Linked DNA regions of Coturnix japonica. The protein of the gene in region 2 purifies or fractionates together with the protein of the main gene of each other region. This does not show direct contact. Links are inferred from orthologs where the notes say so. Each region holds a gene or a part of one and is shown on either strand. Other genes may lie near its edges. The genes, in order: YWHAE and SSH1.

Region 1 (16,463 bases), on a different chromosome or scaffold from region 2:
AGGAAAGGGAATTCAGAAGCCTACACAAACCTATTACTCAGAGCACCCATCTTCTAGTTGGCGGTATGACAACACAGCCTCTATCAATCTTTTTTCTTCCAAACTGACTGCTTTGTGTGCCTAACAACAGTACTGACTCAATCTGTGTCTCCTTCAACATTACTACACCCTGCAGCTCTGCTGTTTGCTAAAAGCTTTAAGAAAGCACTCACCTAACCTGCAGTGATAGGACTGAAACGCACCATTTGCCTTGTTCCTTGTTTTTATGCCCACACAAACTAAATCCCTGAAGACAGATGAGATCACAGTTCTGAAGATGTCACTCATTTCTGTGCCCATGACCTCTCACACGTTGTATAAGACTTGTGTAAGAGCCAACAGCAAGAGGCGAGCTCAGTTACCTCACACTTCTTGCAGGACACGGACATGCACAGAGTTAACATGCAAGCTGTCAGGCTGCCATTGGTTCACTGACTCAAAGTTAATGCTATTCTGCTTCTCCAGTAATCTACTTTCAGATAAACAAATGCATGCGGGCTGAAAAGGAAAAGCTGAAAGCTATTAACATGACTTAACCTCAATCAAAGACAAAAGAAGAAGCCAACCCAGTATTTCTGAGTTAAAAGACATCACACCCAACTGGGGATCACACTCAGCTTGTTGAGCATGCACAGAAAATCCCCCCCATCTTCTCAGTTACCTGCAGGCACGATCAGGAGAATTAAGAATTTCATAGTAGAATACAGAGAAGTTAAGAGCTAGACCTAGGCGGATAGGATGTGTTGGTGGGAGTTCTGTCATTGCAATATCACTAGCAGCCTTGTAAGCCACCAAGCTGTTCTCTGCAGCCTCCTTCCTGTCATTTCCTGTGGCAAACTCAGCCAGATACCTATGGTAGTCCCCCTTCCTGAAAGCAAAAGCAGAACAAGAAGTTAGTCCTTACTTCCACACTCAGCCACAAAAACTGCTTACTTCCAAAACTTATTTTATACATTTACACATTAAGGGATGTTACTGCTGAATTACTGTCCAGACAACAGTGCTTCAGTACCTCAGAGAGTTTCAAATCACCAAGCAGGGAAAGGTTTGCATTAAATTTCTGTTGCTCTGGTACAGAAATCACAGTATTGGCTTCCCCATTACCCACCTATGCAGCTGTACAAGTACCTCATCTAATAGTAAATTTTTTTGCAGGTTTAAAAATAACCCACAATATACTTCAAATAGATGGGATCATTTACAGATAAAGATCACTTCAAGACTGTATGGTCACAGTTCATACATGTAAATATCAAAGCAGAGATGAGATCCTTGTATTATCTCAAAGAATGAACAACAGCTCCTGAGAAGCTCCGACCATCTCATTCTGAACTGGCCTCGAGCTCCTGTCTGCCACCAACAGCCCAAGTGCAGACAATGGGATATTCACTGCACACATTGAGCTGCCCTCCTCTAGGGAGAAATTACTGGCCTTCACCACGCAGAAAAAAACAACCATTTATAGTTACTGTATTCTTGTTATCTATTCCAGCTACAACATGAAGTCCTCACCTCACATGGCAACACTTACATTTTGTAATAGAAAACCTTGGACTCGCCAGTGTTAGCTGCTGGAATGAGGTGTTTGTCCAGTACATCCAGAATGTCACAACAGATTAACTTCAGTTCAGTCTCAACCTAAAAAGAAAAATAACCACAATGAGGCAAGGTCAGCACTGAGACTTAAAGGCTGCTCCAAAAATAATATCAAACAGGTGACAAAAAAATCCAAGGAGGGGGAAGATGAGAAAAAACAGAATAAAAAGATTCAGCTGTCCACAGGTACATTAAACAATAACAGCACAGGGCAATCAGCTGGGACACGGAGGCGAGAACTGATGGATGATGAAACGCATAACCTAATAATGGAATCCCAAATTCCCTGGAAAACATCTTGCTGGACAGTTGCATTACGTCTGTCTCAGCAGTAATTCCTTACTGCAAGACTTGCACAACCAGTGCCTCACATGTTTGAGCCCAGAAGGCTGTCCTAAAGTGGTCATGGTGAAGGGGAACAATTTGAATGCAATTAAGAGAGGTAGGCTCAACTCCCTCTCACCCTTGGGGTTAAGCTATACGTTCACAACAGGTTTTCACTGCTCACTTGGGACACAGAGAACCCTACAACACAAATCCTGCAACAACAGATCAAAAAACATCACAGACAGAAGGAAAAAGTCCAGAAAAAATACAAACTTCAGAAGCAGGCAATAAAATAAGCAAAGCACAGCAGAAACCATTAACAGCAAGGTCAGCAACAAAGGAAAGCCGGTATATAGTCTTATATGAGACTTTAATGGCCACAGTTGGAAATGGTCACATCACTTTTCCTTCCTGATTTAGAACATAAAACAAAGGTTATAAGGTTGGTTTCTACCATAGGAAATGTCACACCTGAAAGCAAAGAAGTGAAGCACCTTCAAGAGAAACCACCTAAAAACTGTCTTTGCACATCAGCATTGCCCACAACAGATTTGTTCCAAGCACTCCTCATTACTCACAGTAGGAGGGGTTGGCAAAGTACACGGCAACCCACTGCTGCTCTCACAATTTAGCATTAACTTACATAGCAACAGCTAGAGACAAATGCAGCTCAAACCACTGTTAGGTTCCATAGAGCAGAGGTTTTCAAGGGAAGGCATCAACATCAGCTTCAATGAACCAGGAGCTGCACATCTCACATCACAGGGCAGCCCCACCAGCTCGCTGCCCTTCTCACCCCTCCACCCATGCAGTTTCCTTTCACATAAGGATGCTCTTACTGTGCCAAATCACTACAAAGCTCCAAACCATCGCTGTCTGTACCCACACCCAGCATCAAGAGCTGTAATGCTGCAGATCTAAAGGAAGTTAAACTGGCACATTCCAAATTGCACCAAGTTACTGAACAGACATGGAAAAGCTCCTTCAGGTAAATTCATCTATGGTAAATGTCATATGTAAACAATGTTGGGATGCCCTAACATTCAAGTGGGGAGTTAAATGCTATATTAATGCTTAAGGAAGTTGCTGAAATATGGTCACTTGAAGTATCTACTTCATATATTCTTGTGCTACTAAAGCTATAAAACCTTTGCCAGCAGTCAGTTCCTGCAAACTTCTTTCCTCTTGATCCTCTTTCTCAATGACTTCTTTTGCAGAGATCTTCAGCAAAACTGCAAAGAATTAAATCAGTTTCTAATCTTCTTTTGTTAAACCATACATGTACAAACTTCCATTTCATCTCAGATCTTTTTCAGCTGTGTTTCAAGGATCACTCACACGAGTTACCAGAGATCAGCTGCTGATAAGGGTGATGTACATACCCTGATCAGGCTTTAAAACTTAGAAGCTTTCATACAAACTGAGTTAAGAACAAAACACTAAGAGAACTATGCCCCCCAGCCCCCCCTCATAAAATATGAGCCATATGAGAAGGCTCATCCCAGTACGTGTGCAGCCACAATCCACTGTGCCTCTGTTTTAGTAGCAGTGCTGGATTAAGCAGATTTGATTGTGTTCTCAGCTCTGCAGGTACAAAGCCCTTTAACCACCTAGTGATTTTAACAAAGAAACTGACTGGAAGCCACCAGGTGGTCGGGGCCCGCACTAATTCCTTGCCCCAATTCAGTATTTAGCCCACAGAAGAGCTGTGCCTCCTAACTGGGATGCAACATGAAACCAATGCAATCGGCAGCAGCTGCTGAAGCCTGTGAGCTGCCTTCCTCCTTGTGCCCCTGAAAAATGAAGAGGGCATCAACACAGCCTGATGTGATGCATGAAGAGGTGAAGGTGGCCTGGCAGCTTCCCACAAGCTCAGCTTGTTAAGCACAAGCACTAGAAACACATGTAAATACAGACCTTAAGGGGAAGGTGAATACTTGTCCTATGCTATTAGCGAAGGGATTTGCTCTTAGAGCAAGGACGTGAGCTGCATCATCTGCAAATGAACACGGCTTCATCCGCTCAAGGGCAAGCTGAGAAAGCCTGTGTTCTCATGCACAGAGATGTAATGGAGCCACGAGCTCCACTTCTGCACATCCATCCACATGGCCACACATCCAAAAAAATGCAGGAATCACACAGGCAGCATTTTTTCCGCACGGCTACGATGTGCTCTGCTTCATCCGCCTTAACATCTCACACCATCAGCCCTTGAGATCTTCCCCAAGTAATACTGGCAAGAACTTAAAAGTCTGCGGAGTTTGAACACAACCAAAGTGTTAAACTGGAACAAATACCAATACAGACAAAAAAACATCCATCACTTGCCCATAAGCTACATCTTTTATTTCAGCTCACGCAGCAATTTCTAGCTGTGCAAACCCACCGCTGGTTCTGGTGACAGGGGAAGATTTCTCCACTGACAACGCTTCTCTCCACTCCCCAGGACCTTAAACATGGCCTGTCCCTGAAAAAGCACTTTTTTTCCCCCTCTCCTTCCTCAGAGTCTCACAAGCATGGGAAGGATCTCTTAACAAGATTCAGCTCAAAATCAGGAATGCAGCAACAGCGTGTATTTGTTGACATGGCAGGCAGTAAGCAAAATAACCCCAACTCTCCAGACCTTATCTGCTCCCCCAAGCACTGAGTATGACAGCAGGGCAGTTCTGCAGCTCTCATGTCAGCAGCAAAAGAGAAGCTGGACCCAAACCTTTGTGTATGTTCTTTAGGCCCTCAGTGCTCAAATTCTGCCTTAACAATCCAATTAATGCTCTCCACATATAAAACAGTCTTCCAGTAGCTACAAACAAGACTCGGTCTTCAGCTACAGCCAACAGCACGAGCCTCTTGGAGCACTCAGGCCAGGCAGGCAGACACATCTACTCTTTCTTCACCATGGAAATGCACTCCTGTGCTCCCCACAGCATTCTTCCACTTAAAGCTCACAGCACCCAAAGGACCTGTGATGGCTCTTCCCTTGAAGAATTTAACACATGGAAGTACTGTTGTATAGCAGTGCATTCTACATGGCCTGTACATTTATCTCAATACACTACTCTGAGGAGTGTATGTGTGTATAGTTCTTGCTCACCAGTCCATTCTGCACAGCATTTTCTTGCTTTAAAAAGAGATGCAGAACAGTGTTTCTTCATTGTCTCTGGAAGGACTATAAAAAGTCTTTTCACTATTAAAGGATCCCTGGAAAAGATAGTAACTGCCTACAAAATGTTAAGCAAAAAAACCCCAAAGCATGAGGTTTAAGACAAATGATACTGTCTTAATTTATATGCTCTGCTTGGAAGATTTTAGATACCCATCAAGAAATGGTATTTGGGACTGTATGTAACTGGCAGAGCTGCACCCCATCAGCACGCCAGCATAAAATTAGAAACTCAGAACTTGAACAATTCCACAGAGCAAACAAAATGCTATGAGTCAAAAGAGAACAGTCCAGAGCCATTCTTCAGAAAGGAGTCCCAAGCCAACATCGTTCCCATTGGCAGCATATGAATCAGTGCCAGGTAGTTAAAAGAGACACTCCACTGTTTCTGTGAGAGTGAAGATGGGAAACGTGGAGGCACTTATCCTGCAGTGATGGATCTGAAGTCTCTGCAGAAATGCGTAGGACTTCAATTCTACATGAGAGTGTCTGCTCCACATTAAACCATCACTTAAGGAGGCCAGGGTTGGGGGGGCAGGGAACAGCTCACTGTTCTAATAGCCAACAGTTTCATTAGCCCTCACTGATGAAAGGCTCAGCTCACTCCAAGTTCTCCATTTTAGGTAAAGCTGCACAGGCTGACTAGACTCACCATTCAGTTATTTCCATCTATTCTTCCCCCCTTTCTGAAGGGAGAAAATAGCAAGGCCCTACAGCTCATTATACATCTAAGTTTCACAGTTGAGACGTCCAGAATATCTTAATATTCCCTGTTCCTACAAACACAAGAGTGCTTAAACTTAATGGTAACAAACCCAGAGTCCAGATCTTCTTAGCTAAATGGCACTACACTACAGCACCAACTACATCTTACCATTTGCCGATATTCCCGAATCATTTTTAATTTATCTTCTCCTCCTTTGTTTTCTTCTTTCTGTTCAATGCTGCTGATTATTCTCCAGGAAGCTCTTCTGGCTCCAATCACGTTTTTATATGCAACAGAAAGCAGGTTTCTTTCTTCCACTGTCAACTCCACATCCATTCCAGCCACTTTCTTCATTGATTCAACCATTTCTAGGAAGAAAAGGTCACGCAGTTATTCTCAGTATTAAAGCATCTTTCAAACCATTCACGAGAAGCAGCGCATTAATGATAACTTGTCAAAATAGGCTCCCTCCTCCTTTCATCCAGTTACACCTTGCTTTTATAGAGGAATGCTCCAAACAAGTCAGCGAGCACATACACAAAGAACTACCTGATGCTCTTTCAAATGCATTTGACAAGGGTACCCAAAACATTCCTTCAAGACAGTTTGAGACACAAACAAAACCAGCTTAGCAGAAGGATTCCATAGAAGCAAAGCAGAAAGAACACTGTCGTTATGGAAGCAAGTTGAAGTTCCACGAGGAAACCACCAGAAGAAAAATCAACTGCTTGGAGAAGTGACAGGAGAGTCCTCCTGAGGATAAGCAGAGCAGCACCACCCAGCCATGCCAAGCAACTATTTGCACTGGAAAAATAACACAGTAAATGTAATTTGTATTTATAGATTAAACCGTTTAGAAAAGACTCCCAAACCTCAGGTGAAAAAAAAAAAATGATTACTAAATACAGCTTTTCTACGTCCCAGTGAAAGTAAAAACCTAAATTACTTAAAGGTTTTAATCCTTTCATTACCTCATCACATTATGATTTCCTATGACCTAACAGAAACATAAAGGCTGAAATTATTACATATCTGCTGAGAGAGCTTAGTCTGAGATACCCGGAAGCCCTACGTTACCTCCTGCTAACAAGTGCTTCACTCATTCAACCTTTACCTTTCAGCTTCTAGAGCAGATGAGAACCCCACAGACAGGAAAGCCATTAACGAGCAAGACTGAGCCCCCTGCAGCCCCTAACCCTATCTACCTCACATCCTCATCCTCCCCTACCCCCAAACCTTCACATGTTCTGCTGCATAATGGCAGTAAGAAAGAAGATGCAAGTGAATCTGAATTGTCTTTCCCTTCCCCCATCAGGTGCCCAAACTCATCACCTTCACAGGAAAGAAGCCATTTCAGTAATAGAACTACAGCCTCAATTTTCTCCCTTGCAGGAATGGTGTTATCAGTCTCCAGCAGGTTGCCACATATGCAGGACAATTTAATAGCAGCTCTGTTCTCATCAGGAGTAAAAAACAGCCCTACCTCTACCAGTACATTCTGCTGCTCCAGCTCATGAAGTAACAATAAGTGATACTTGGGTAAGTGTTTTCCACACCCTACAATTTAAAATGAACTCTTTTTGATGAAGATTTCAGAAAGTCATCCTAAACTGCTCTTTAAATATACTTAGTGTAAGTACACAGTCTCATAATTTAAACTAACCTAAAAGCAGTGCTATATAGTTACAGCAAACAACTTGAACAGTGCATGCTCTAGGATTTCTTTCCTAAAGGGTGACCCATCCATCTATTCAAATCATCTCAAAACTTTGATCTTTTTTTCCTTAAATCATGAGTTATGTTCTCAGATTTTCATGTTACTTATGCAGCATTCAAGTACATTCAAGGCAGTCTGCCTGCCACAGTGTTTGCTCTTGTGAAGGACGACCAACACGAATGAAGACTCGCAGTCCCAGCTAGTTGGATATCTGTGCCAAGCTCCAGCAAGAACCATAAGGCTTGTATTTTAGCTTAATGTTTAACTGCCCTCAGATAAGAAAAGTAATTGAAACTGTGCCACAGCTTCAGCGATGAACCCGTAGCTGTGACTGCACAGCCCTCCTTTCACTCCTTGAAATGAAAGGAGTCATATGAGTTCATGAGCAGAAGAAATACCCCCTAGAAAGTAATGCAGATAACAGGGGAGGTGGTGATGCTGTGCTCATCTTTCATGCTCATTTCCAGGCATCCACCATCACTCTGAAGATCTTTGAATGTGACCGCCACCCTTCACCCAAACTTGTACTGTCTAAACCTTTGTATCTCTTTATACATCAGTGTGACATACGTAGATAATTAACTGCTCCAGGAGCACAGAGGTGAAAAACACGTACAGCAAGTTTATTGGCTCCTACATCATTGAAAAAGGAGCAGGAAATCACACCTGTACATTCACCAACTGGAAAAAAAACCAGCCTTATTCTAGACTAAGAAATATTCTATACAAAGACACACACCCACAAGCAGAACAAGTATTTGATATTCTAGGTGCAGCTTCAGCTGTCTGGAAGATCCTACGCAGAGATGAAAAGCTTGGAGACGATTCACGACAAAGTACAAGTCTGAGATTACATCTCAGTAAGAAGGATTATGGCAGCAATGATAACCCACTGCACACCTCAGCTGAAGATGTTAACGCTGCATTACAGAAGCAGCAGCATCACATGGATTCAAAAAGAGCTCGTCATTAAGTGGTTAAGTTCCAGCCTTGTGGCTGTCACCTTATTAAGCCACTGCCACATCATGCCACAATCAGAGCAGGAAATCCCCAGAGTATGAATTGAGAAGATAGGAGAATATTCTGGATATCTATTGACTTCAATCCTTCCCCAGGCCTCTGCCATGGGCTGTTTTTGAGAAGTATTTTAACAAATGAACATTTCTGACTGAGCAGGTAATACCATTTATGTATTTTATGGGGGGGGGGGGGGAAAGCATTTCAGTGAGACACAACACTGCCTACGCTTCCACAACAGTCCAACAAAACCTATTAGTTATCTGTCCCTACAGCTGAACACTGCCAGGATGATGGCTGGCTCCTGCTGGTGCTGCTGTGGAAGACACACAGGGACACAACCACAGCCTGAGCAGCACAAAGGAATAGCCGGGCTGCCATACTAAGGGCTACTACCTCCAAGGGGGATGTGCCTCGGGGCTAGGCCTTCTGTTTTAAAGAGGAAGAAGATTACTACAGCTTTAAGTCCCCAAATACAGAGTTTGGAGCGCCTGTAAATCACGATGAAGCTTTCTAAAGCCCTTAAGCATAACTATAGGTTTTTCCACCTTTTCCAAAAGGTAGAGGAACAGCCAAAACTAAACTTATAAATGCTCAGGGTGTATCCATGTCTTTAAAAATAGATATATCGAGTCAAAGGAACTGATCTAAAACACAGTTCCTTGAAAGCACCACAGGGGAAAAAAGAACAATACAATGCAGTACTGTAGTTCTATGGGTGGACTGCAATCCATCACGAAGCAGAGAAGCATCCAGAACAGACAAGGCTTGTGCAAGAAATGGAGCCATTTGCTTTAAATGCTAATGGACCCATACAAAGCCACAAAGTTAATTTACTGTGCGCTAAAAAGTAATGGGGGAAGTTTATAAGTGTTGAGAAGCACAGCACTGATAGCCATCTATTAGGGCACAAGTGATGAGGAAACAGAGAACAAAAGAACAAAAGAATGAATGCCTCTTTATCAGGGGGAAAAAAAGACACTCAAGGTATTTTCTGTTCCTCAATCTCCCAAAGACTGAACAATCCAGGATCTGGAGCATCCCTCTGTAAGGAAGAGCAGCAGCCAACACACTACACGTTTTGTAGAAGAATTACAAAGCTTTTCCAAAACAGAAACCAACATTTAACAGCAGATTAGGAAGGAGAATCACTGCATATCAACCAACACCAGAACCGACCTGACAGCTTTATCATCAGACTGAAAATGGAAGTCTAGGTCAGTGATTTATAGAAGTGACAACAAAAACCACTCGGCATTTGCCAAGGCACCTCATCGGAGGATCTTTAAGGATTTCTACTGCTATCAGGTACAGATCAGATCCTCTCTTGAATGGAGACCTGGATGAAAGAGAGCTAATGGGGTACGAATGTAGGCTCAGTGTTCAAAGCAGAGTAAGGTCACCAGTGGAACCACACGGTGATCAGTGCTAGGAAGCATGTTAGCATTTGTAAGCGATACAGAATAAAAGAGTATTCAATACTAATTTAGTAGTCACAGCAAATTGCTAAGAGCAATAAAGACCAAAGAGAGCAGGAGAAATAATGGCACACGTTTTCTCTATTAAGTGATGTGTAACCATGAGAACTACAGCCCATAGATTCCATTCTCTCCAGACGTGCAGCCCTCTGATCCATGTGATACCAGCAGGCACCATCCTATTCACTGCAATGATCAGCCCCGAATCCAAGCCAAAAGAAACCAAGGTCTTAAATGTTGGTGCACCCCAGACAGTTCTAATGTTTGATTGTATGACTGAACTACACAGTTCTACAGAGCATAATCCCATATTAATGCTCTTGAAGAAATAGATGATCGAGACCAAATAATTCAACTAACAGTTGCATTTTCTGCACAATCAACCTACCAACACGATTTCTAAGTCATTTCTATATCTTCAAGTTAGGAAGATGTATCTTCCTAAAAGACAGAGGACTCCTACTAACAGAAGAGTCAGATTGAAAGCAGAGGCAAACAAGGACTGAGTCTCATCATACATTTCAGTTTGACTGAGATCTGCTACTTAAGAGTCTCCTAATACAAGAACTTGAGTAAGTTAATGGACACTAACCCAGTACGTGGGCTTCCTGCAGGGCACTGAGCCATCTAAGGTTGGATGCTCAACACTTCTGGTATCTCAGACGTTTCAAGAGGCAAATTATCAAAGGTCCTCACACAGCTCTGCTGGGCAGAGGGGAATTACACCCCTCAGATGCATTTATATTATTTACTTGAAAGAGGACCACTGCAAACTGAAAATTATGAGCAACTTAATCATTCATCTATCTCATAAGTGAGAATTTGATTCTTCAGCAAGCTGTAATTGCAAGTCCTGCTACTGTGAGCCAACTCATTCTACAATATGTTCAGATTTTGGATTCAGTGCACACCTTGTTGCCTTCAGAGGGAAGGTTTGCTTCTCTGGCAATGAGTTAATAGCAACACAGGAGTTACATGTTGACTTGCTGTACTGGGAATCAGGAGAGCTGTCAATTATCTTCTTCCCAGCTGTAAACAGAGCTATTATCCTCACCTGCTACACCCTGGGTAAACTTCAAATGATGTATTTCAAGATCTGTGGCACAAATCTGTTGGCAGGACTGAAGCACCCACAGGATTCACTCGGAGCTTACCTTCTATCCTAGCATGCTTCTCTACTGATGAGAAGAAAGGTGCTACCTAGCTTCTGCAACAGAGAGTTAGTTTTGACATTCAGCAGTCCATGAGAACGCAGATACATACAATCTTTTGATGTGAGAAAGTAAAGAGTTAGTGATTTCATAAACCAACGCAATTTTATCAACTCCAGTTGTTTCCCAGAAAAGACATTTTATATATATTACGCAATTGGGAACCATCTTTGAAGGAACTCAAAGGGTTTTCACTCAGGGTGGTGACGCACTGGAACAGGTTGCCCGAGGAGGCTGTGGATGCCCCATCCCTGCAGGCATTCAAGGCCAGGCTGGATGTGGCTCTGGGCAGTGGCGACCCTGTACATAGCAGGGGGGGTTGAAACCAGATGATCATTGTGGTCCTTTTCAACCCAGGCCATTCTGTGGTTCTATCAAGTGCAGGTAAATGTGATTTTTTTTTTCCTCAAGTACGATTTGTCACAAAGCTTTCTCTAATACAAGTAGGCTGCCCGGCATTTTGTGATCTGTCATGACACGCCTGGGTAGATCCGTAAAGACAGACACCCAAATCTCTTACTATCTCTAGGGATCACAGCTTTAAGCATTATTTACACTGCAGAGGCACCTAAGAAAGTTGTCCTCTTAATCTGGGCCGATACACCAAGGGCTGTACAGAGACAGAACTACATTCCCAACAACTGGCAGGCACAGCCTGCAAGGCTTCAGAACTTAAGTGGGTCATGTAACTAAAAAAAACCCAAAAAACTTATTAGATTCCTACCTTAGAAGCTGCCTCAAATGCCATGGACCATGGCTGTTCTAACCACACAGCACGCTGAGCCTCACTGAGAAAGATGTGGCAGAACGTAACGCTATCCTAACATTAAACATCAAAAATTGTCATTTTACATTCATATTCAAGTCACAGAACAGGTTTCTATTCCAGCACATTTGTAGCCAGTACTTACCATCAGTAGTATCTGGAAGTTATTCACTATTACCTCACCATCATGTATCTCAAAGGTAAAACTAAAGAATGAAACTAAGCATCACTTCACTTCCCCACAGCATTTCATTCACATTGAGCAGCCTCAGCACTTACTTTCATGTAAATGAGAATATACTCTTCACTTTTTAATTGCTTCCAACTGAACGATACAGAATTAGATGCTAAACCTGTACCTACAGTATTTATTTTTCCAGGCCAGGGACAGAAAAAAAGGCGGAAAGCTATAGAACAACATGGAGAGTTAAGGGATGCACCTTAAATTTGTTGATTCAACTCCATGCCAACAAATTCTGCAAGTCTGAATCCCACAATATTGCTTTAAAGATAAGAACACTATGATTATCATTACCTCCTCAGTGAGGGTGTTCTTATTAACACTCAGAAGCCACACAGAAGCCCTCTGAATTCTGACCTAGGCAATTCATTCTTCAAACACCCACTGGAGCATTGGGATTGGAAGCCCACTGACTGCCTTTGTGTGGCATTTCTATCTCTATCAACCTTTTTTGATAAGGAAATCAGGCTGTGCTGCAGATTTCTACAATAAGGGAAGGTCTGATTGCTTTCCAAAGAAGTGACTTCCCATTCAGCTAGGAAAGCATCAGTTATACCTCAAAAGGATGATGTATCCCCCAAACATCCTTAGCCTGGAGTTCCATTCAAACCACAGCTCACCCCTGCGCTGAGGCTCATCTGTACCAGGTGAACAAACCCTCCCCCACACACACCCCAATACTGCTGGATTTGTGGTCTTTGTGGAAGATGGCAGCAATGAGAACAATGCACCTTCCCATCCCACACTCCTAAGGAGACAAAAAAACCAAGATACCCCAAATCTACACCCCCCTCCTCAACCACTTGTACCCACAGATGTTGCTCTCCTACTATGAGCTGCATCTTACTTGAAGGGGTGGGCACAAGTCACCCCACAAAACCTGCTTTGGGGGACGTTTTTTCCCCCAAGTCCCTGCAGTTACAACAAGGAGACTATCTGGCTGCTGTCACTCAGTACGATTCTTATTCCTACCCCATTTCTACCAGAACATTCACTGCAGATGGTCTTAATTACTCCTTCATTTCTGTTTTCCTCCCCCAAAAGGTGTATTTCTCAGCTTTGGAATCCCATTATCAGAAGTTTTCTAAGCAGTAACTCAGAGAACAAAGCCTAATTCTCACCAGCTGACTTCCCTGCTCTGTGAAAACCCTGATCAATTAAAGGACCCAAAGCATCTCCCCACTTCTAAATGAAACCTAACTGTACTCCCACCCTTTACACACACACCGGCTTTTCTTCCACTTGAAATACAGATCTAAGGGCAGAAATAACAACCCCATTGAGAAAATTAAAGGCCCTTTCTTCTATAGGCAAGAAAAGCACCTTGAAGGGAACAGTCACACGGCAGACATTTTGGGGGCAAGAAATACCATCCAGGGCTGCCAGCTCCTCCCCACCGCCCCTTTTTTTTCCCCAAGATATAAAGGGATCAGAGCTCTAATTTCATAAGGCAAATGAGGGAAGGGGGGGGGGAGGAAAAAAGAGACAAAGTGGGAACGTAAAATGGTCTGTAATGATTTCCAGCGTGTAATGAAAGCATGTGTTCTTCCTTCAGGTAATGACGGGCAGTGCCAGACGGCTGCAGGGTGAATGAGAGCCGTGCCTCCAATGGAAAGCGAAGGGAGAGAAAGAGAAGCGCCATCCCGCTCCCTCGGGTCCCTCCGGCATCGCCCCCCCCGAGGGGCCGGCACGAACCTTCCGGAGAGCGGGGCGTTGTCTGCGGCGAACCGAGCTCAGCCCCACAGCGCCGAGCTCCGCGGGGCCGCGGCCGGAGGGAAACGCAGCACTAAGGAGCCGCCCGGCACCGCCACAGCCGCCCGCACGGCGCTAAGCAGTGGGGTCTCTTTGTCGGACCCCCGAGGCGGGGGCGGCTCCCCCCTTCCCCCCCCCAGGACTCGCCCTTCGCGGCCGCCATTTTCTTCCCGGCTTCTGCCGCCACCGCCCCCCGTAGCGGGCCACGCCCAGGCCGAGGCCGCCCGCTCATTCAGGGCCCCCCATCCCCGGTTCCGCGGCCCTCGGGGCGCTCCCCGGCGCCATTTTGTCGGCGCCCCCCTCCTCCGCCCCTGCCCCCCCCACCCCCGCCCAGCCGCCATTTTGTGGCCGCTCCCTCCCTCTCTCTCCCCTTGGCCTCTCACGGCCTTCCCGGCCGCCGCTCACCATCGTAACGTTCAGCCTGTTCGGCCAACTTAGCCTGATAGACGAGATCCTCCCGATCGTCCATGTCCTGCAGGCGGAGCGGCGTCGGGGAGCGTACGGGGCGGATGGAAGCCGATGGGTCTGTGGGGCTCAGCAGCTACCAGCTCGCTGCTCTCCGGGCAAATATGGCGGCAGCACCTCCTCCCGCTGCATCCGGGCACTTCCACAACCGCGCGCATGCGCCCTACGGCATCCCATAGCAACGGCGGCTCCTTAGTAACGGGCGGGATGTGGCCGGGCCGGGGTTGGGACCGGCCGCCATTTTGCTGTTGAGCGGCGGCCGTGAGGATGCGGATCCGCCGCGATGTGGAGGCCGAGGGCCGCGGTGCGGAGCCGGTTGGGGTTGGGGGTGCTGGTAGGGAGCCCTGCTAGTGTGTTAAAGAGCCGGGTGGGGGTGCGGGGAGGATCGGAGTGGCCGGGTTTTCCCTCAGTCTGGCTGCGCTTTTCTCCTTCCTCTCAGATCTGGTGTATTCAAAGTACAGCGGCCTTTCCCTGTTGTATTCGTCCCGGGTATAGGAATGCCTGTAGAAAGGCAGGCTGTGTGATGGGGGAGCGCTGTGGCTGCCATCACTGACTGATCACTGAGGGGATGGAACTGGAACGTGAGAGGAATGTGGCATCAATTCCTCACAGAGGCCTGAAATCCACCGAGCAGGCATTGAAAGCGTTATGATAACACCCCCCCGTTTCCCAAATCAAAGAAAAAGCAAAAGAAAAGTGATTCTGTTTGGCTAAGATAAACGTGAGGTTTGTTCAGGGTGGGTATGAGCTCGTATCCGCTATGAACAGGCTCGTATCTCTTTTTCCAGTGTCTCCTTGGATGGGCTGAAGGCTCTTGGCCTTCCTGAGGTGTGAGAGCCCACAGAGGCCATTGCAGCTTCTGATACGCAGCAGAGACAGAGCATCCCCGGCACCTCTTGGACAGAGCTGAGTATCCATTTGTGTTCTATGTTGTGCCCACTGATCAGAGGCACAGGTTTAACCATCGGTTTATTGTCACCTGATTCATTTCATTGCATTATTTCAAGTTAACGAAGACTTAAGGTTGTGTAAAACTGACAATTGGATGGTTTGCTTATGGATGTACCTAAAATATTACTATGATTTTTATAGAATTATATAGAATCCCAGCGGATTACGGTCAGTGTATTTGTGTAACACTGCGCAACTTACAATCACCTCCGCCCTTCATAAATCTTAACTAAAAAAGCCTATTTTCTCAGCAGCTAAGACTTAGTTTTGTGTGGGACTGTACATGATCAATTCGATTTGCCTCAACGTAGGGACTTTACTTGATCCTCAATTTCCTGATGCAATCCTTGCCTTGTCCTTTGCACACACAACATTTACACACATTGATTGGGCTGCTACTGCAACAGAAAGTCACCACTGCAAGAAGAAGCAATAGAACTCTGCATAAATCCTTCATGACAAAGCCATGGAGACTTGCAAATACCAATAGTGAGGTAGGTGAGCAAGGAGTAAAGCTGAGGGCAGTGCTTCTCCCTGTGGAAATTTATTATATGAGGCTGATGGGCTTATTGTGTGGACAGGAAAACTGGCATCTCAGTATAGTTAAGTGCAAAGTCCCACTCGAGGACTCCACTAAACAGTACTGATGAGGAAAGTTATGTGTAGTAACCTGCCAACTGAATACCAAGTAACTAAAATACTGAATGCTTTAATTGTAATGTAGTGAAACAAATGCCATTGTTGAACATACCAGCAAGAAAGGATTACTGACATCAAGACTCCTCCCTGCCTACTCCCAGAACCAACATACAGTGTAGTAAAGCGTTATTAAAATATATATAGTATATATTTAAAATATATATATACTATAAAGTATAAAATATGGCCTATTCTATGCAGTGAGGGCCTTGTGAGCTAAAGAGCACCCCCAGAAGGCCAAATGTTTAGGAGTATTTTCATTTAAGTCATCTCAAGAACCCCCAAACTATTTTCTAATGCATCCCTACAGTTAGAATTGAGACTAATAACTAACAAGT
Region 2 (16,463 bases):
TGCACTCTGCTTGGATGCACTCTCATATCGAGCCACGTCCCCCAGCCCACTTACTTGGCCTTGTTTATGAAATGATATGCCTCGTTCCAGTGAGCCAGGAGGTCAGTCGTCTCCTCGTCATACACCCGGATATTGTGATAGGCAAACAAGCCAGGGAAAAAATTATCTATTTCCCTGGTCACGTTCAAAATGTAGTCAATGCTGTGGAGAATGAAAAGAAAAATGGAGCTGAACTGCCACGGTCACAAAAAGGAAAGTGATGCACATTGTGAATCTCCTGATTCCTGCCAAACACTACAGCAGGGTTTACAACATACGTAGGGAGAATGAAGGCCCGCATTGATTTACTACTTCATATCATTTAGATAAATCAAGGCTGCAGGTATTTGTTTCAGAGTTTGCCCAGCTTTGACTTCTAGGCACTGCATGTCAAGACGCCCTCACCATAGACCAGAAGCATTGACATGCTGGTTGATCCACTTGCTCAAAGATGTTCAGACATCTGTTCCCAAGGATTCCAAATTAAACATTTTTAGTCATGCTGTTGAGCAATAATTTGCAGTTTCTCACATCAGAGGCGATGTATGCCTTGGGAAAACTGCAAATATTATATGTATCACTCATCCAAAAAGCCTAAAAATAAATCAAGCCAAGAAGTGGCGTGGTGATGACAGTGTAGTGAAAGACAGCCCTGCAGCTGCCTGTCTGGGCAGGTGAGGTGGGGATTGCTCATCCACAGGAAGTTCTGCTCCATTTAGATGGAGTTTTTCCTGAACTCTGCACTGTAACATTTGCTCTTCTGCAGCCTGCAGGAATTTACACCTGACACAACAGCATGTATGCCTGCTTCATACTTGGTTGCTACACACTGGGAGATCTTGAAGTTTCGTTATTTCTACTTCATATGTGATGGAAACGAGGTAGGAAAGTTTTCCTGATCAAAGTCCTGATGATCAGTTACCCACATTGCTGGGAACTCATCCCTACCATCTACAAATGCCACATGGCATCTCAAGAGACCTCAGTGTAAAAGTCAAATGACTCAGAGGCTGGAAGGCGCAGTACTCACCCCGAGCCCTGCAGCTCCTCCAGGTTAGAGGCGTTCCATTCTGACCCCTGCAACAGTCACATAGATAAAAACCATCTTTCAAAGGAGCTTCTCCATTTCTTAAGACACTGAACTGCCCCCATTCTCAGCACTACTCCTCAGCTGCCAACTTAAATGCTGCAGCCAGACCAGGCTTGTCCTAACAGCCTCAAATTTAGGTACAAGGAATGTTCACAGCCCCTCTGAAATCAGAAGAACTGGGGACAAAATGACGTGGGGTCTGTGCAGGAAGAAATCCTGTAAGATGCAGGAGTCAGGGGTATATTCAACCCCAAATCACCACTCCCTGGCCATTCTGGGTTTCTAACCACATAGATAAATAGTGCAGGGAAAGAAAAATAACGATGTGTGACATAACTGGGATCACAATTACGTATATGAGAAGTGTGAGGCAAATCCTGGAAGTTCTGGAGGTGATTACATCGGATCTCACTGTATCCACAAAACAGAAAGTTAAATAGGGTTTTAAAAGCCAGTTTTGCCCTCAGACATCAGCAGTTTGTCTGACTCTCTCCAGGAAAAATAACAAAACACCTAAAAGTGACCCCAGCATAAAAGGCACAAATGTGTTCATCTCAAGCAAGTCTTTGTTCCAGATGGCAGCATCTGGTTTTGCTTGGAGTTCCATCTAGTGGCAAAACATTACATAGAACACACATCTTTGCTTCAACATAAAGTTGAAGGGCACAGGACCTTCAGTCTTACTCCTCATACAGCTTTGGCCACGCACACAGAACTTGATACCAAATGCAGATCCCCCAGTGACCCATAAGGTCGCTCCCACTGAGCCTTCAGCTCTGCTGGAGCTCCTAAAAGGGCAACTTACCAGATACAAGTGATCAAAAATCAGAGAGGGTTTGTCCATCTGACCCAGGATAAGCAGCATTTCATTGTCTATGAATTCCTTGAATTCTTTCAAGTTGCAATTCATGTGTTTTTCCAGCTCATTCCGGATCTGCAGAGCAGAAAACAAAGGATGCCACCTAGAATCATCTCTGTTCAATAGAAACATTTATTGGCACTCTTTCACAAAACACTTTTTATGTACTTCATTAAAGACAGCAGGAGGGATTCAGCCTTTTGGAGGCAAAGAATCTCACTACGTGGCATCTTAGACCCCCCATATCTGAGATCTGTGAAGAAGGCTTCAGATAGCATCCAAGTAAAACACACATATATCATGCACCTCCTTCCAAAAAATAACTTGAGATGAACAAGACCCAGGAGAGCAACTAACAAACATGAAACTCAAAACCCAAACCTACATAGAACTATTACCATCTGCTCCAAGTACATCTGCACTGTGTCCCTGTGGGACAGATTCAAACTAGTCTTAGCCTTGACTTGTGACTCTTCATCCATAGGCGCACCAGCAAGGTCTCACCTGTAAGCCTCTCTGACATTGTTCAGAAATAAAGAAAACAAAACCTTGAAGTAAAGCCAATGAGGAGAAAGGAAAACGCTGCTACTTAGCACACAGTTTGCTCTGTGTCCATGAACAAGTGAAGACCAGGATGCTTCTCTAAAACAGCGGGGCATAGTCACAGCTGGGAGGACACACAGCCAGTAACTGCATCTTTTGAGAGAGCTATCTTTGCTTGTGTGATTGTGAGGAATAAGTGGTTCCAAATTCACTGCTTGGACATGCCCACAAGTGCTGCCAGTTGTAATGAAGTATCACCTCCGACACCGCTCTGGCTTGTTACTAAGGTCTTGAAAACTGTGCTCTAATATTGGTATGACTCTCTTTTACAAATAGAGAAACAGAGGTGTAGCAAAGCCAAAGAGCAGAACCTTTGAGGATCAGTTGGAAATACATTCAAAAGCCAAGGGCACCTCATTATACAATGTCTCTCTGTCAGTATAATATCCTCTGGAAAAGGAAAAGCAGGAAGAATAAAAGAGCAGGAGTTTTTTCTATTTACCTCCTTCGAAGTCACATTTTCCAGGTCTTTGCACATCATGATGCTCCGGAGTTTGGCTTTAATCAGGCGTTCTGTTCGTTCCCTTTCAGTCGGCCTGAAAAGGAAAAGGGAAAGGATGTCTCCAAACCAGCAGTAAACACTCCTGAGACAATGCAACTTGGACAGCACAGAGGGCTGGTGGGAAGGACTTGCATTGAAAGCATCTTGACCAGGAAAATGGAAGAAAAACATTAGAAGGCATTTAAGTAGAGAAAGGAAATTAACTGCCAGAGGAACAAAAGGGGATTTCTCTTGTGAACCAAGTTGACTTTTCATAATAAAACTGAGAACTGACTTGTCAACAAACAGAGCTGGAGAGTCAGGGCGGGTGGACTCCAGGTCCTGCATGGCATTCCACTCATTGATGCAGCTCTGGTCAGAGCTGATGCAGCTTTCATAGTACGTAGCCCAGACCAAGGCCATCCCACCTGGGAAGTAGTTGTACCTTCTTGCAACTTCACAGGCTTTATGGAGGATTTGTAGAGCAGACCTGCAAGATTGGGAACAAAATTGTACAGGCATAAGCACACATAAACCAGGATTAAGAGATTTTCATAGAAGACTTCTATCACTGTGTTGCAGTTTGCTTTTTTGAGAGCTGCAGCTTTATTGCATCAGAGTTCATGGGGCATCTTGGAGGCTTTCTCAAGAGCCCATCTGAGACGGAGGCTCAGATTTTCTCCTCATCAACTGGCAAGCATGAGGCACAGTCACTGTGGGACCTAATCATTAGCTAACTTGTAAAGCCAGACCAAAGGAAAATAAAGAACATGGACAATTTTCAAACCACCTTCAGCAAGGAGTCAAATACATATTTACAGCATTCTTGGCCCCTGACACGCTCCAGGGACAGGGCCCAGATTGGGTCATTTGTTTTTGTAAAACTTAGCATTACTTTTTCTTTCCTCCCTTCCCTCCTCCATTTTTCCTTTCTATTTATTTCTTTTAATGCTCTGCTCTGAAGATGTCGTTGTAGTGAACATATTAACCACATCTAAGGCTGCCAACAGGAGGGGTCGAGTTCAAAAAATGACAGGAACAAGTTTTGTTTGTTTCTGTACCAAACCATCCCTAACACATCACCATTCTCTACCCCTTTATCTTGTCCCTACCAGCTATCACAAGCACAGGAGTTTTGAGGCTCCACAAAGTACCCAACGAGAGGCATTTGTCCTGTTTGGGGCAAATAAAGCCTCTTCAAGAAGGCATTTGCTGGCACAGCTGCTGCTGATTCAACAGTCTCTGCTTCAGCATTTTGGAATCCCTGCATATGGGAGGGGTGACAGGAGCTGAAAGGTAAGCATGATTGCAGAGTGACACGGAAAGTTTCCATGCAGAAGCAGCCCCAGCCTGGCCCCAGGAATGGGGCAGAGTTGGAAATGCCATCAGATTGGCAATGGGTCACAAGACTCCCTCATGCCAGGGAGGTTATGCGTGGAGAGGAAAGGCTGGGTTTGCAGCCTGATGAATTCACGTTGGGCTTTCAGGTCTGTACGTCTCATTAGTGCCATTTCCCATTGCTCTCATGTCACAGAGCACACAGCTGCAGCAGAAGACGCTGGTTTTGGATCAGTGCTCCCAGAGCCCCTTTATAGCATTACTACCAGCTGATAGAGGGAAGCAGCATCTCAGCTGCAGCTTGATAAATACCAGTTATGGAAAATGCTAAAACGCAGTTTGTTTGTTGTTAATTCATTCACAGAAATTACAGCCTCTTTCTCAGTAAAGCTAATTGGCACACATACCACATGGCTTGTACCGACACTGGCTTGAAGATGTGCATTCTCCCAGCAGTGCTCACACTGAAGCCACTAAGAGAGAGGGGAAAAAACAGTCACAAACTGCTCTTCTCTGCACCTCAGGCTGCTTCTCAGAGATAATCTAAAGGAATAAGGGATGAGAATTTCCATCACCAATTTTCCATTATCTTCCCTAACAAAAGCAACTAGTGGACACCTGCCATACAGCGCCAGGAATGGGAGCTCCACCCCTGGAGCAGGATTTTGGTAAACACTTACTGGATACGACAGGTTCTACTGAGCGTTCTGAGGGCAGCAAAAGAAAAACTCAGTGTCTGAGTTAAAGGACTGCAGCCACGAATCTGAAACCGGGACTTCAATTGTATGGTGAGAGTCTCTATCCCACAGCAACCCCCAGAAGGGAAGGCCGTTCATGTCTATCCTTTCAATGGGGTTTCTTACCCATCGCCATCAAGATGGATCTTAGTATCACTCCACAGACGAAGAACCATTCCTATAGTGCAGCTTTTACTGGAAGAGAAACGTTAAGGATGTTAAATATAGGCCACAATGCAGTCATGCCAATATCCTCAATTATTAATAGTCTTTAATTTTTAAAGTCCACTAGCCTTGCTTTAGTAATTGCTCATAATATCTTCAGCTATTTAATGTGTAGCACATAAGGAAATGGGCAACTAAAGTGAATCAAAGGCTCTGACAAAAGCCAGTTTGAACGCACACGTAGACAACGTACGCCCTAAAACTCTGAGAGGAAAAAAGTTTCTTATTAAAAACACGTACAAGGAATAAAGCCCACAAAAGCCTGACCAGCCCAACTGCCAGCAGCCAGCACACAGCTGAGAAGTGCCATTTCAGCCCCAACATGGAGCCTTGGAGTCCCTCGATGAGTCATTAATGCCAACAGATTTCTTTATGTGTGACGCTTTTCCTTAATTAACAAATCCCTCGGTTTTCAGAGGCAACTGAATGAACCAGCAGCGGATCTTGCAGTTAGGATGGATGTGCTGTTACTTTTCCATCTCTCCTCTCATCTCACAACAATCACCTCCAGGGGCAAATTACTAGAAGGTCACCATGGATTTGGAGAGGACAATGCCAACGCTCCCTGCTGCTGCACACCAAATATGCCAGAAGGGAATTTAATGCTGGAATTTCCTCCCTAACACCAACAGTGGTAATTAAGAGCAGACACAGAAGCAGCACCAAAGCCAAGTCAACAGTCTCCTTAGGAAGGCACTGCTAGGAGTTCACTAACAGGTCTCACTGCAGTGCAAAAGCTCTCCCTTCCCACTTCAATCCACAGACATTTTCCAGACAAAAACACAAAGTCCCATTGGCCATATCAGCTCAGCATGGCAGTGTGCTCAATCTACCAGGGAACAGAAACAAGTCAGGAAGCTCTGCCTTCTAACTCCAGCTCTGCCAAAGCAGCCTCACCTCTTCCAGCTCAGAGCTGTTCTTGGTTTCCTCACCTATAACTGGAATTATGTGAGAAGGTCTGCAGCAACGTTTTATTTTCATTTCAAAACATTCTGGGCTCTTATCAGTCAGACAAAAGGAACAGCTCATTACTAACACATTTGTTTGTTGGTTTTGGAGGTACTTCTGCACTGTTGTTGTTGATCCTATTTGGCAGCTAACCTACCTGAAACAGCTCCATTGCATCACACCACGAACAGACTTGAAGTCTGATGGAGCAAATAAATTCCAGTTTAGGAAACGTTTCCACAGAAGCATTTTGTAGTGAGGAGACAGCAAGCTACCACAGATGAGGTAGATACCACAGTCCTCCAGATGGATTCCAAGTGAATGCTTTGCCCACAGCTGCATAGAGAGCCTAAAGATTCTAAGGAGACTGAAAGTTCTCTGAGACAAAAAGCGCTCTCACAACAGTCAGAAGAATTAACAGCTATGTCTCTTCTTTTGCTAGAGTACGTAAAAATTAACTGCTTGGGGACGGCTGTTGACAAGCTTTCCAGAGAACCCAGCCTGCCTGATTTCCAAGCCTAGTTTTGCCTTAGACGTACCTCTCCTTGCTGGAAAAGTCCACACCCAGCAAAATATTCTCTTCTGTGTCCTGCCGCCCGTTGCTGTACACAACCACCATGTACCGGACTCTGTCTGTCCACACACTTTCCAAACGGACAGCCTAGGAAAAAGACATCAAGCTCTGCAGAACTGCTTTTGGATAATCTTTACTTCCATTGCTGATTAATATTTTACAGGTGTAATTGTGCCTCAGAGCTTTATTTAGCTGCAGAATGAAAGATAAGGAAAGAGGTAGTTCCAAGCAAGGCCAGTTGCCAGTTTGACTTGGAATCAGGAGATTAGAAATAAGAGCAGCCTGGATGATCTGTCCTACATTGTTGAAGCATTAACAAACCCAACCTGGAGATTTCTTCTAAAGATGTTTAACTCAAAAGTGGGTAGAAGCACTCACTGTGCACTAAGCTGGAGAAGCCCAGAGGGTTCTTCCACACAGACAAGCCTTCACTGAAACATTCTGTCTTGCCATTCTAGAGGGAGGTAATTAACACAGACCCAACTCATATCCTGGATGTAAGGATCAGTCCCAAAGGAACACACAGGGAAGCATGGTGGGGCTGGCAACCAAGTGCAGCAGATTGAAGCCAACCACGGATTTGCCGATGCTTTCTGTGACCCTGTACAGATCTGCTTCAAACACCTCCAACAGAAAGAAAGGCAGGAAAATGCACTTGTTCTTACCAGTTTGATTCTATCCTCGCAGCGAAGGAGGTTGATCATCACCTGGAGGTGCTGGGGCAAATCACCTGCAGTGAGAGCAGAGAAATGATCAGAACAGGTGACTTGAACATCAGCAGCTTGTGAGGAGAAAGGGCTGCAGGAGTGGCTCTATTCAGGTGATGCATCCCTTCTGCATCAACTAAAGGTCTGCTCATACAACTGCTCCAAAGTGGTGGATATATTTCTGCTCGGTGAAAGTGAGCAAAAGGAACAAAGAATCTACAAGAAAACAATCCAAATTCACATCTAATAACTTGGTAACACACTCATAACTTTCCATAAAAGATAAAATTCCTTCCGTAGGATGTTTGCTGGGTATATGAAATTGCTGACAATTGAAGAAACCCAAAGCCACGCTTGGCATTCAAACAGCCTCTTTGTGCTTGGAGTGTTTACTAAGCAGCAGGCACACAGTACCACACTGTGCCTTTCCCACATGCTTCTGCACTCAAAATGCCCTGATGAGCTTATTTCTTCTTGCCCCTTAACCACTTATTACCAAACCATCAACGACAGAAGGCATAAAAATACAGGATGAGTGGGATCCAACTTCCTTAAACCCCGTCGGCTTATCAGCCCTTACAGACATTCACCACACAGCTCTCCTCCCACCATCTTGGAACACTGGAGTGCGCCAGGAGAAAGGACAAGATGTTCTCAAACCATGAGAAATGTCTGCAGGCCAGATTTAGATCAGTTAACTGAAAAGGGGATTTCCTGAAAGCAGAAAAGGGGGTGGAAGGAGCTAAGAAAGGGCCTCAAATCCTAATAAAAGTGTTCCTTACTTTTGAGAAGTAGCATTGAACAAAACTAACAACAGGTGGTTTAAAAATAATGATAATAAAAAGAAAGATGCTGTCATATGGAGTCAGACTGTGGGAGGCTGGGAGAGCACTTAGGAGAAACGTCCCTGATGCACTGAATCAGGAGCTCGGTAACCACAGAAGGGGTGCTGGAGCCTCATGACTCAACCCATTGCATTTTCCTCCCCACAGGCCAGAGGAGAAGGCAAAGATCAAACCACTGAAGCAGAAATAAGTGACATTTCTTCATTGCAGGCTGCAGAAGACAGGGTTCGGCACAGACTCTGGCTCAGAGGGCTTTGCTGGCTACAGAATGCCACAGTGTCTGTAAAGAATAAATTCCTGCTCCAGATACATTTCCAAGAGGATGGCAAAAGTTTAAACAAAGACACAGTCACCAAATGTTCATATTCAAAACACGTGGATTGAAAACCTGGTTTTCCACAGCAGGTTGTACAAAACCCACTGTTAACAGTCAGAGGAGCCATCCACCACCCACACCTGCTATTGGGCTGTCAGTGTGGAAGAGGGGAGAGGGGATGGAAGAGTGAACAGAGCATCAGGCCGTGCTTTAATCCATACCTGCATGTTTGTGAGGATGCTGGAGACTTCGCTGGCCCTGGGAGCTGTTTCCTTGTTGCAAGAAGAGGGCTGCTCCTTTCACCATGAAAAAACTCTCGCTTAGGCTGGAAAACAAAGGACACAGGAAGTCAGCTCAAAGGAAACAGCAGCAAAACGTGTGCTCCAGTCGGTGTGCCTGGGGAAGGAAGGGCTTCTCTTTGTTAAAACACAGCAGGATCTGCCACAAGAAGCTGCTCCCAAAGGTTGATTCTGCCACTTGCAAGGCATGGCTCCAGGATTATTCACAAAGAATGGTGTCATTTTCCACCAACATTTTCTTGCTTGGCCATAGCAGGAGATGCTTGCCTGAGCTGTCACGGACTGAAACGACTTTATCACTTGATTATCAAATTCTGTAACTTAAAAACAGTAGTGGGTAAGAATTCCTACAGGCTTAGACCTGTAAACGACTTCGGATCAGGTCTCGAGTCAATCAATCCCTATTAATTTCAGTTCTTGAGATTCCTTTGGAATGCAGAAACAAGAACGTGGGGCTATAAATCACAGACATACAGGGCAGGGAGGGAAGGTGAAACCTGCACAGAATGAACTGAAACTTCAGGGCAAAAAGCAACAGACCCAGCAGCAAAGGCATTTCTCTGCTCTGTTGAGATACAACTGACCTGGGAAACAGTGCTGATAGGAAGAGAGGGCATAGCACAAACACACACACACACAAAGCTGCATTCATGATCAAATGAAACACGGCTAACGAGAAGGCCAATCAAAACCAGCAGTTAGAGCAAGGAGCAGCACAAGCCTACTTACACAGTCCTGTAATGCACTGCGAGAACTTCACAAACAGACCTGGACATAAGTGGTAAAGTTGGTGTTTCCCACAGGGCTGGAAATGAACATCTCCTAAGCTAAGTTTTATCTGCCACAGTAACTGCTTACCTTGCACTTCCTACCCCACTCCAAACGTCAGGCAAGGAGACATTCCTTGCTACAGAGCCCGACTTTCTGCCATCCCACACTTCCCAACATACACAACTGTTCATTACTGGCTGCTATCAACTAAATATAAAAGCTCCACGATGAGGCTGTGCTGCGCTGGAGTTACTTATGCTACAGCAAATGGTCCCACAGGAGCTGCAGCTCCCAGTGCTCATCTGTTCTGTGCTATGTCTCTGGTGTCTTTGCCTCTGTCTAGCACTGAGCACCAGCAGTGTGGTAAAAAGTCATCAATTCAAGCCTTCCCAGCTCTTGCTCCAAGTTGGGTCTTCCTTCTTCCAAGGACAGAGCCAAAGTTTGCAGTTAGCTGCCTGAATGCACAACGTTCTTCAAAGCTCCCAGAAAAGCTGGAACAGGTTTAAATTTGAGACTTCAGTCCCTCCTAAAAAGCAACCTAAAAATCATAGCACAAGTTCCAGGCTCCCTCAGCCCTATCTCAGACCAACAAGCTATTGGCAGGACAATTGCACAAAGCTTTCCCCATTACTGCTCCTGCAGCACTCACCCCTGGCTCACCGGGAGCTGTCAGCGATGGCCCCGCAGCCCTCACCACCAGCACCCACCGACAGCAAGAATCCCTGCAGGCAGGTTCTTGGTCCATCCCATAAGCAAGGCAGGAAGAGCCCTGTTTCCTTCTCACTCCAGATCTAACAGGAAAGCGTTAAAAAAAAAGGACAGAAGTGACATCAAAGCCGCAACACCAACACAATGTATAGGATGTTCACTAGAGAGCAGCCTCGTGCATACCCAGCTGGTTTATCAGCAAGAGGAAAGGAATGGTTAGATAACACACAGCTCCTAACGCTCTCATTCACTGCGGGCAGGAAACCTTCACAATAAGACAGAATGTTCCCAGTTGGAGAGCTGTGCTGGGGGAGCAGAAGTGTCTGCAGGCAGAGGTTGACCAGTACAGCACACGTTTTGCCACCGGGTATTTATCTGCACGGCAATGAACTGAAAAGCAAATCTGAAGAAGTGACTGAGAGCAAGATTTCTGGTCTAGTTTACTAGTTTAAAGTGTTCTTGCTTAAATGCTTGCGTCTCCATGTGCGCAAAGCACAGCACTAAGTCAGCTCATGCTCCCCAGCTGCTGTTGGATGCCACCAGCACAGTGCTGCACAACAACCACTATGAGTTCTCCCGGGACACCGCAGCAAAATGGTGAGGTTACCCAATGCTGACCCTTAACTCTGCTCCGAGAACACTTTGCCCTCAGCCACTCCATACAAATCCCCTAATAGCTAACAAAATAAAAGTGAGAAAAAAGCGTGACGCAATAAAACCCAGCGTTCTGATGCTCTGAAACCCTGCAGTCCCAGTAAACACCCGAATTCCAGCTTTAAAAACAAAAGAAACCTCCCAAAGTACAAAAGAAGAACCCCATCATTACAGAGCCCCCCCAGCTCCCTCCCCAGCACCAGCCTTAGCAAGCAGCGTTTGTTAGTGGCATAAATACGAGTGGTTTATACATACTAATTTGGACTGGTTTTCTTTGAACAGCAGAAGCATTGTGCTGGCCCAAGAGTCAGGCAGAAGTCAGTAAATTCGAAAAGATTCATAACTAGCTGTAAAACTCACATCCTTTTGCTTCTAAACCCACACAAAAAGAAAGAAAAAGAAAAGGTCGGTCGTATATTCTGCGCCGAGCAATCGCATCTGTTGATGCTACCCAGGAACTGGATGACTTCTACAGAACACTGTGTCTTCCACTGATATCCTGGCTTGAAAAAGCACTTGTCCTAACATATCCTGATGAAAGAAGGCCATTCAAGAGGGGAAAAAAACAGCTGAAGCTCGTCTAATCACTTCCCTCCTACAGACTGGTGCGAGCTGTTTGTTTCCTCCCCATGCTCACAGAGCGATGCAGGGCAGGATGAAGTGAAAAGCATCTCGTTGATGCTTACATCCCACATTGCTCAGTGCCCTGCTGGTTTTTACAGTTAAAGCCCTGTAATGGAATGTCTACGTGGCAAAGGCATCGTGGTCAGATCAGGATACTTCCCAGCTTATGGTGCAGCCATGTGCTGATGCGCTGCTGAACAAGAACTTCTTTCGGGTGGTTTGGAATTCCTCTGTTAGGGACTCCCTATAACCAAATTCAATGAAGACTGATTTCTTACCAACCCTTGATTAATTCCTTCACCACAGCAGCACCAGTCCCCCCCAGAGGAAGAAGCAGCTTTTTGTTCCCTTTTTGTCCTGCCCCATTGGAGCACACAGCATAACCCTCCAATTTGCTGGATGCCCTCCCAGTAATCCTAACCTGCATCACTGCTTTCCAGCAGCTCCTTTGGGCTCTCAAAGAAACACTGAGCATAGTGGTTTTGCTGTAGCATGGGATCTGGGAGCTCTAAGAGGGCTGCAGTGCATCCCCTTACCAAATGATCTCAGTGGGAGCACATTAGCCCCTTAAGAGGGCTAAAACCTAAACTTACAGGCACCTGGGAGAACTGAGTGTCAGTAGGAGGGTGCTGATAGAACAGCTGCATTTCTTTGCTGGCCTTAAAACAGAGGCCCTGCTGTGCCTGCAGTTCTGCAAGGAGAAGATGGCTCTTGACTACAGCACCTCCTTGCTCTGTCCGCTGGCTCCACGCTGCTCAGCTTTAAAAGGAAATATTTCTTCCCCTTTGGGAAAGCTCCAGAAGAACGTGGCTGTAACACACATCAATTACATTTCAAGTCGCTTCAGAACACAATAGGCAGCGCCTCATAATCATTTCAAAACACCATTCCCCGAGTCTGCAAAGGCAAACAAGCAGTCTACAGTCACCCTCCATCCTCAGCAGCACCCACACTGTGTGCCCTGCAGGGTGCTGTGCTCCAGCAATGCTCTGCAATGGAGCCTTGTTAGGCACAGGGCCATGCCATGCTCTCCTGTCACTAAATGTTTGTCAAATTAAGTCTCTTAATTTCTCTCTTGTTAACAGAATGACACACAAAAATGGCATGAGGGCAGAGGAAGGCATCGGTCCATTGGGGCTAAGCTGGAGCTCTCTGGGGACAAGGGCTGCTTCCAGGCTTCAGCAGCCACACCAAAATAACAGCAGCCACACCATGAAGAAACCCAAAACATCAGAATCAAAAACATCAGCCGTGAACCACAGCAGAGCCCTGAGCTCATCCCCACGGAGTCAGGGCATCCCCCATCCATCCCCATCCAAGGAATGGTAAGGAGAGCAGAAGACTCAGCAGGGCTGGTGTGTTTAGGGCTGCGGAGATGCAAGGAGTCTGAACACGCATTGTTAGGCTGAAGGCGTGGGCCACATTCACAGCACAAGAATGTTGAGAAGGGCTGGAGACACTGCAGGCCATTCACAGCGCCAGATACTAATTCTCCTCCAGCACAAAGAGGAAAAAGAAAAATGAAATCAATCATGGAGCCCACAAAAGCTGATTTCCTAAGATAAATAGACTGCTTCCAGCCACTCCTGCTCACTCCATGCAGCCTTCAGCCCTGCTTTGTGGGGACAGTGGGGACAAGAGGGGACTCGGCAGCTCCGTTCTCATCCCATGGCTTTGTGCTATCCCTGACAAGCGCCATCCCAGCACCATTCTGGCATGGAGCAAGACCCAGGTAACAGCTGGAGCCTTGTCTGAGAGAGAAGCAAGAAGAGGGAAGCAAACGCAGCTCCCCATTTCAGCAGAGACTCGTGCAAAATAAGCTTGCAGAACGGCTCCCAATGGCCTGGAGAGAGAAAATGCGAGGAATCCTTGGTACGTGATGGTGAAAGGCCAAATAAAACAGAGATTGTTTCACAAGGCAAAAATAAAAGTAAAAAAGACCAGATCCTTTTTGCACATCCCATTAATTGCAGAGATGGGGAAGGCACTGAGTGCTGCATCCCCAGCTATGGGACATGCTCAGAGCGAACACTTTGAATGGCAGCGGGCATTTCTGAGATTCCCGCTGGAAAATGAGGTCACTGCTGTAACAGCTGGAGGGCCAAACCCCCCCCACAGACCTCAGCCCATCCAGCAGCTGCTTATTCCCCAAATGCTGGCTCCCTTCCCTTGCCCTGTGCTGTCCTACCCGTTCCTTTCTGCTCTTTTTCCTAACATTTCTCTTTCTTGCCATGCTAAAGCCACAGCTCCTTCAACCTAAGCCATTCTACAATATGATTCTATGAGGGCAGTGAGGCTTTCTTCCAACCCAAGCCATTCTATGATACGGTATGAGCCCTCCAGGAGCAGCTCCTGCCCTGATCTCCATCCCATTCCCCAGTTGAGCTGGTAGAAATGGCCCCATCCTCCAGCTTAAGGGATGAAAACAATGAGCTGTGTCATTAAGTTACCCCACTTCACCCACTGTCAGCGCTTCCCAGACACAAGGAACAAGTGGGAACTCTCCAGCCACACTGCTGGAAAAGAAAAGGAAGGTGAAGGATGGTTCCATGGCTGGAGAACACAGCTCCCAAACAGAGCGAGCGAAGGTCAGCCAGGACACAGCCAGCAGCATGGGAAGCAGCAGTGGCACAGCAACCCATAAAACAGCTCCGCTGCTGCATTTCAGAATGACTCCAAAAAAGGCAGCGGAGACCAGGGAGTACTTGACACACTGGTAACGTGTCAAAATACAATAAAATAAATCCTGAAGCATCACGCAGGGTAAAAGAAGGGTAGGAGAAGTTCCAGCTTGACACAGGCACCCCCTCTAGCGTTTGCTGCAGGCTGCCTTACCCATTGAACCCCCAGAGAAAAGGGTGAGCAGAGTGGATTTCGCAGGGAAAGATGAGTGCACAGGGGCTGAGTGGAGCCCTCAGCCCTTCCATCCGCCTTCTTCATGGGGCAGAGAGGCAAAGCAAGCTCTGCAGAGGTCCCTCTGATGTGCAGAGGATGTGCTTTGTGCTGTGAGCCATTCATTTGAGGCTGCTCTTATGCCTGCCTTACCTTGCTTTCTCAGCGTGCCCTTAGAGTGCTTCCACATCACAGCTCTGAGCACCGTGTGAATGCTGATGGAATAAAAACCTCTGTGCTTTTCACTGGAAGTGAAGCCATGCCTCTGAAGGTGTCCTGTCCATTTCACATCCTCCACAACCTCCCAAGGGCACTTGTCAGGTTGGCCACGGCCCCATTTGTATGAGAAATCCCTGATCTCGCAGATCTTGGCAGCTGATTATCAAAGATTAAAGTATTTAACAAATCAGGAGGCATTTGGAACCAAAATATTTTCCTGACCCGGCTCTTTGGTGCCTAAGTAAACAGTAACCACACTGGCCTTTACAGGAAAGAAAAGCGTTCAGCATGCAGTCGGTTCCTTTGATAACATGGCCAGAGGGTTTTGGCCAAACTGCTGAGGTTTGGGGGGGAGGAAGAAGGAAAAAAAATAGAAGATTTATATATAATTCCTAAATGGTCTAATCACTGCATCTCCAAACCAGCAGCTGTCCAAGCAAACTCATCCTGCTGCTCAGCACCAAGCCTGCAGCAGTGTCCTGGAAAGGCCAAATCCCAAAGAAGAAGTGGGAGAGGAGTGCAAGCTTCCCCAGCTCGCCCTGATATCCCCACTGCAACATGGTGAGGCCCAATGATATCCCCACGGGCTCACGAGGCCACACCTCAGGCCAGAAACACCAGCAGGTCACCAGCCCGTCACTTCACTGCTCCATTGTACAGAGCACGCCAGGGCAGGATGCTGCAGCCCGGCCAGGATGTGATTCAGCATCCTGTTTTGAACAGTGCACAAAGTCAGCAGCTTCTGCCCTAAGACCTCCCCTCAAACAACTGTCACACAGCTGCCCCTACCCCGAATATCCCCCAACACCAAAGCACGGCCACTCAGAGCCATCCACAGCGTGCTGCCATCAGCTGAGATGCACAGAAATCCCTGCAGAAGTTAAAGACCAAAGCATCAATAAAAGCCTGTTGTGAGTTAAAATCCAAGATAGAATAAAATACAATAAGATCCTCCCCATACAGCACGTGGCTCAGTTTCCCCAGCCAAAGTGGCCGCAGCACCAGGCAGAAGCCGGCTTTGTTACAATTAATTTAACCTAACGAGCTCCTCCTAACGAGGCTGTTGGTGCATGTCAGCAGAACGATGCTCTGCAAGGAGCCTGCCTGCGGTGATCCTCCTCCTGCTGGGCTGCAGAGGCTTGGGGTTAGGGCTCATAAACCTGCAGGCTCCACCTAATTCCCCACTGAAACTGAGCTAACACACAGCCCTGTGTGCTCAACGTAACCTCGCCTTGGATGAGATTTCTCAAGATCACGTGGATGCTCTGCAGGAGAAAAAAGGTTGAAGGCAGAGCATCCCATGGCTGGGCAGCATTCAGGAAGGAGGACTGCAGCAGATGATGCAATGAAAGAGATGAGGCTGCTGGAATGCCTTTGGGAGGTGAGAGAAAAGGAGGATTCCTAAGCACAGTAATGTCTCTAAAATACAAACAGTGACATCTCTGAAGGAAAAGCTGAATATACGCCTTGTCTCTGTTTTAAGGCATTTTGGAATGGCACAAACCGTGCAGGAACTCAGAGCAAAGAGAAGCAA

What was found.
Region 1: the proteins of SSH1 (region 2) and YWHAE purify together in Homo sapiens (affinity purification with mass spectrometry; 3 studies listed by BioGRID and IntAct, with this or other methods). This does not show direct contact. The link is inferred for Coturnix japonica from reciprocal best matches to the Homo sapiens genes SSH1 and YWHAE.

What each region holds. Positions count from the first base shown.
Region 1 is NC_029534.1:3,989,187-4,005,649, reverse strand, and holds the start of YWHAE (14-3-3 protein epsilon), read right to left. Parts: upstream 14,617-16,463; 5' UTR 14,480-14,616; coding exon 14,416-14,479; intron 6,197-14,415; coding exon 5,997-6,196; intron 1,678-5,996; coding exon 1,571-1,677; intron 908-1,570; coding exon 701-907; intron 1-700. UniProt on the Homo sapiens protein: Adapter protein implicated in the regulation of a large spectrum of both general and specialized signaling pathways. Binds to a large number of partners, usually by recognition of a phosphoserine or phosphothreonine motif.
Region 2 is NC_029530.1:5,726,720-5,743,182, forward strand, and holds part of SSH1 (protein phosphatase Slingshot homolog 1), read right to left. Parts: intron 15,538-16,463; exon of another isoform or gene 14,864-15,537; intron 12,512-14,863; exon of another isoform or gene 11,536-12,511; coding exon of another isoform or gene 11,450-11,535; intron 10,613-11,449; exon of another isoform or gene 10,482-10,612; intron 9,088-10,481; coding exon 8,984-9,087; intron 7,625-8,983; coding exon 7,560-7,624; intron 6,982-7,559; coding exon 6,860-6,981; intron 5,343-6,859; coding exon 5,274-5,342; intron 4,884-5,273; coding exon 4,818-4,883; intron 3,563-4,817; coding exon 3,368-3,562; intron 3,128-3,367; coding exon 3,034-3,127; intron 2,064-3,033; coding exon 1,935-2,063; intron 1,117-1,934; coding exon 1,070-1,116; intron 202-1,069; coding exon 55-201; intron 1-54. UniProt on the Homo sapiens protein: Protein phosphatase which regulates actin filament dynamics. Dephosphorylates and activates the actin binding/depolymerizing factor cofilin, which subsequently binds to actin filaments and stimulates their disassembly.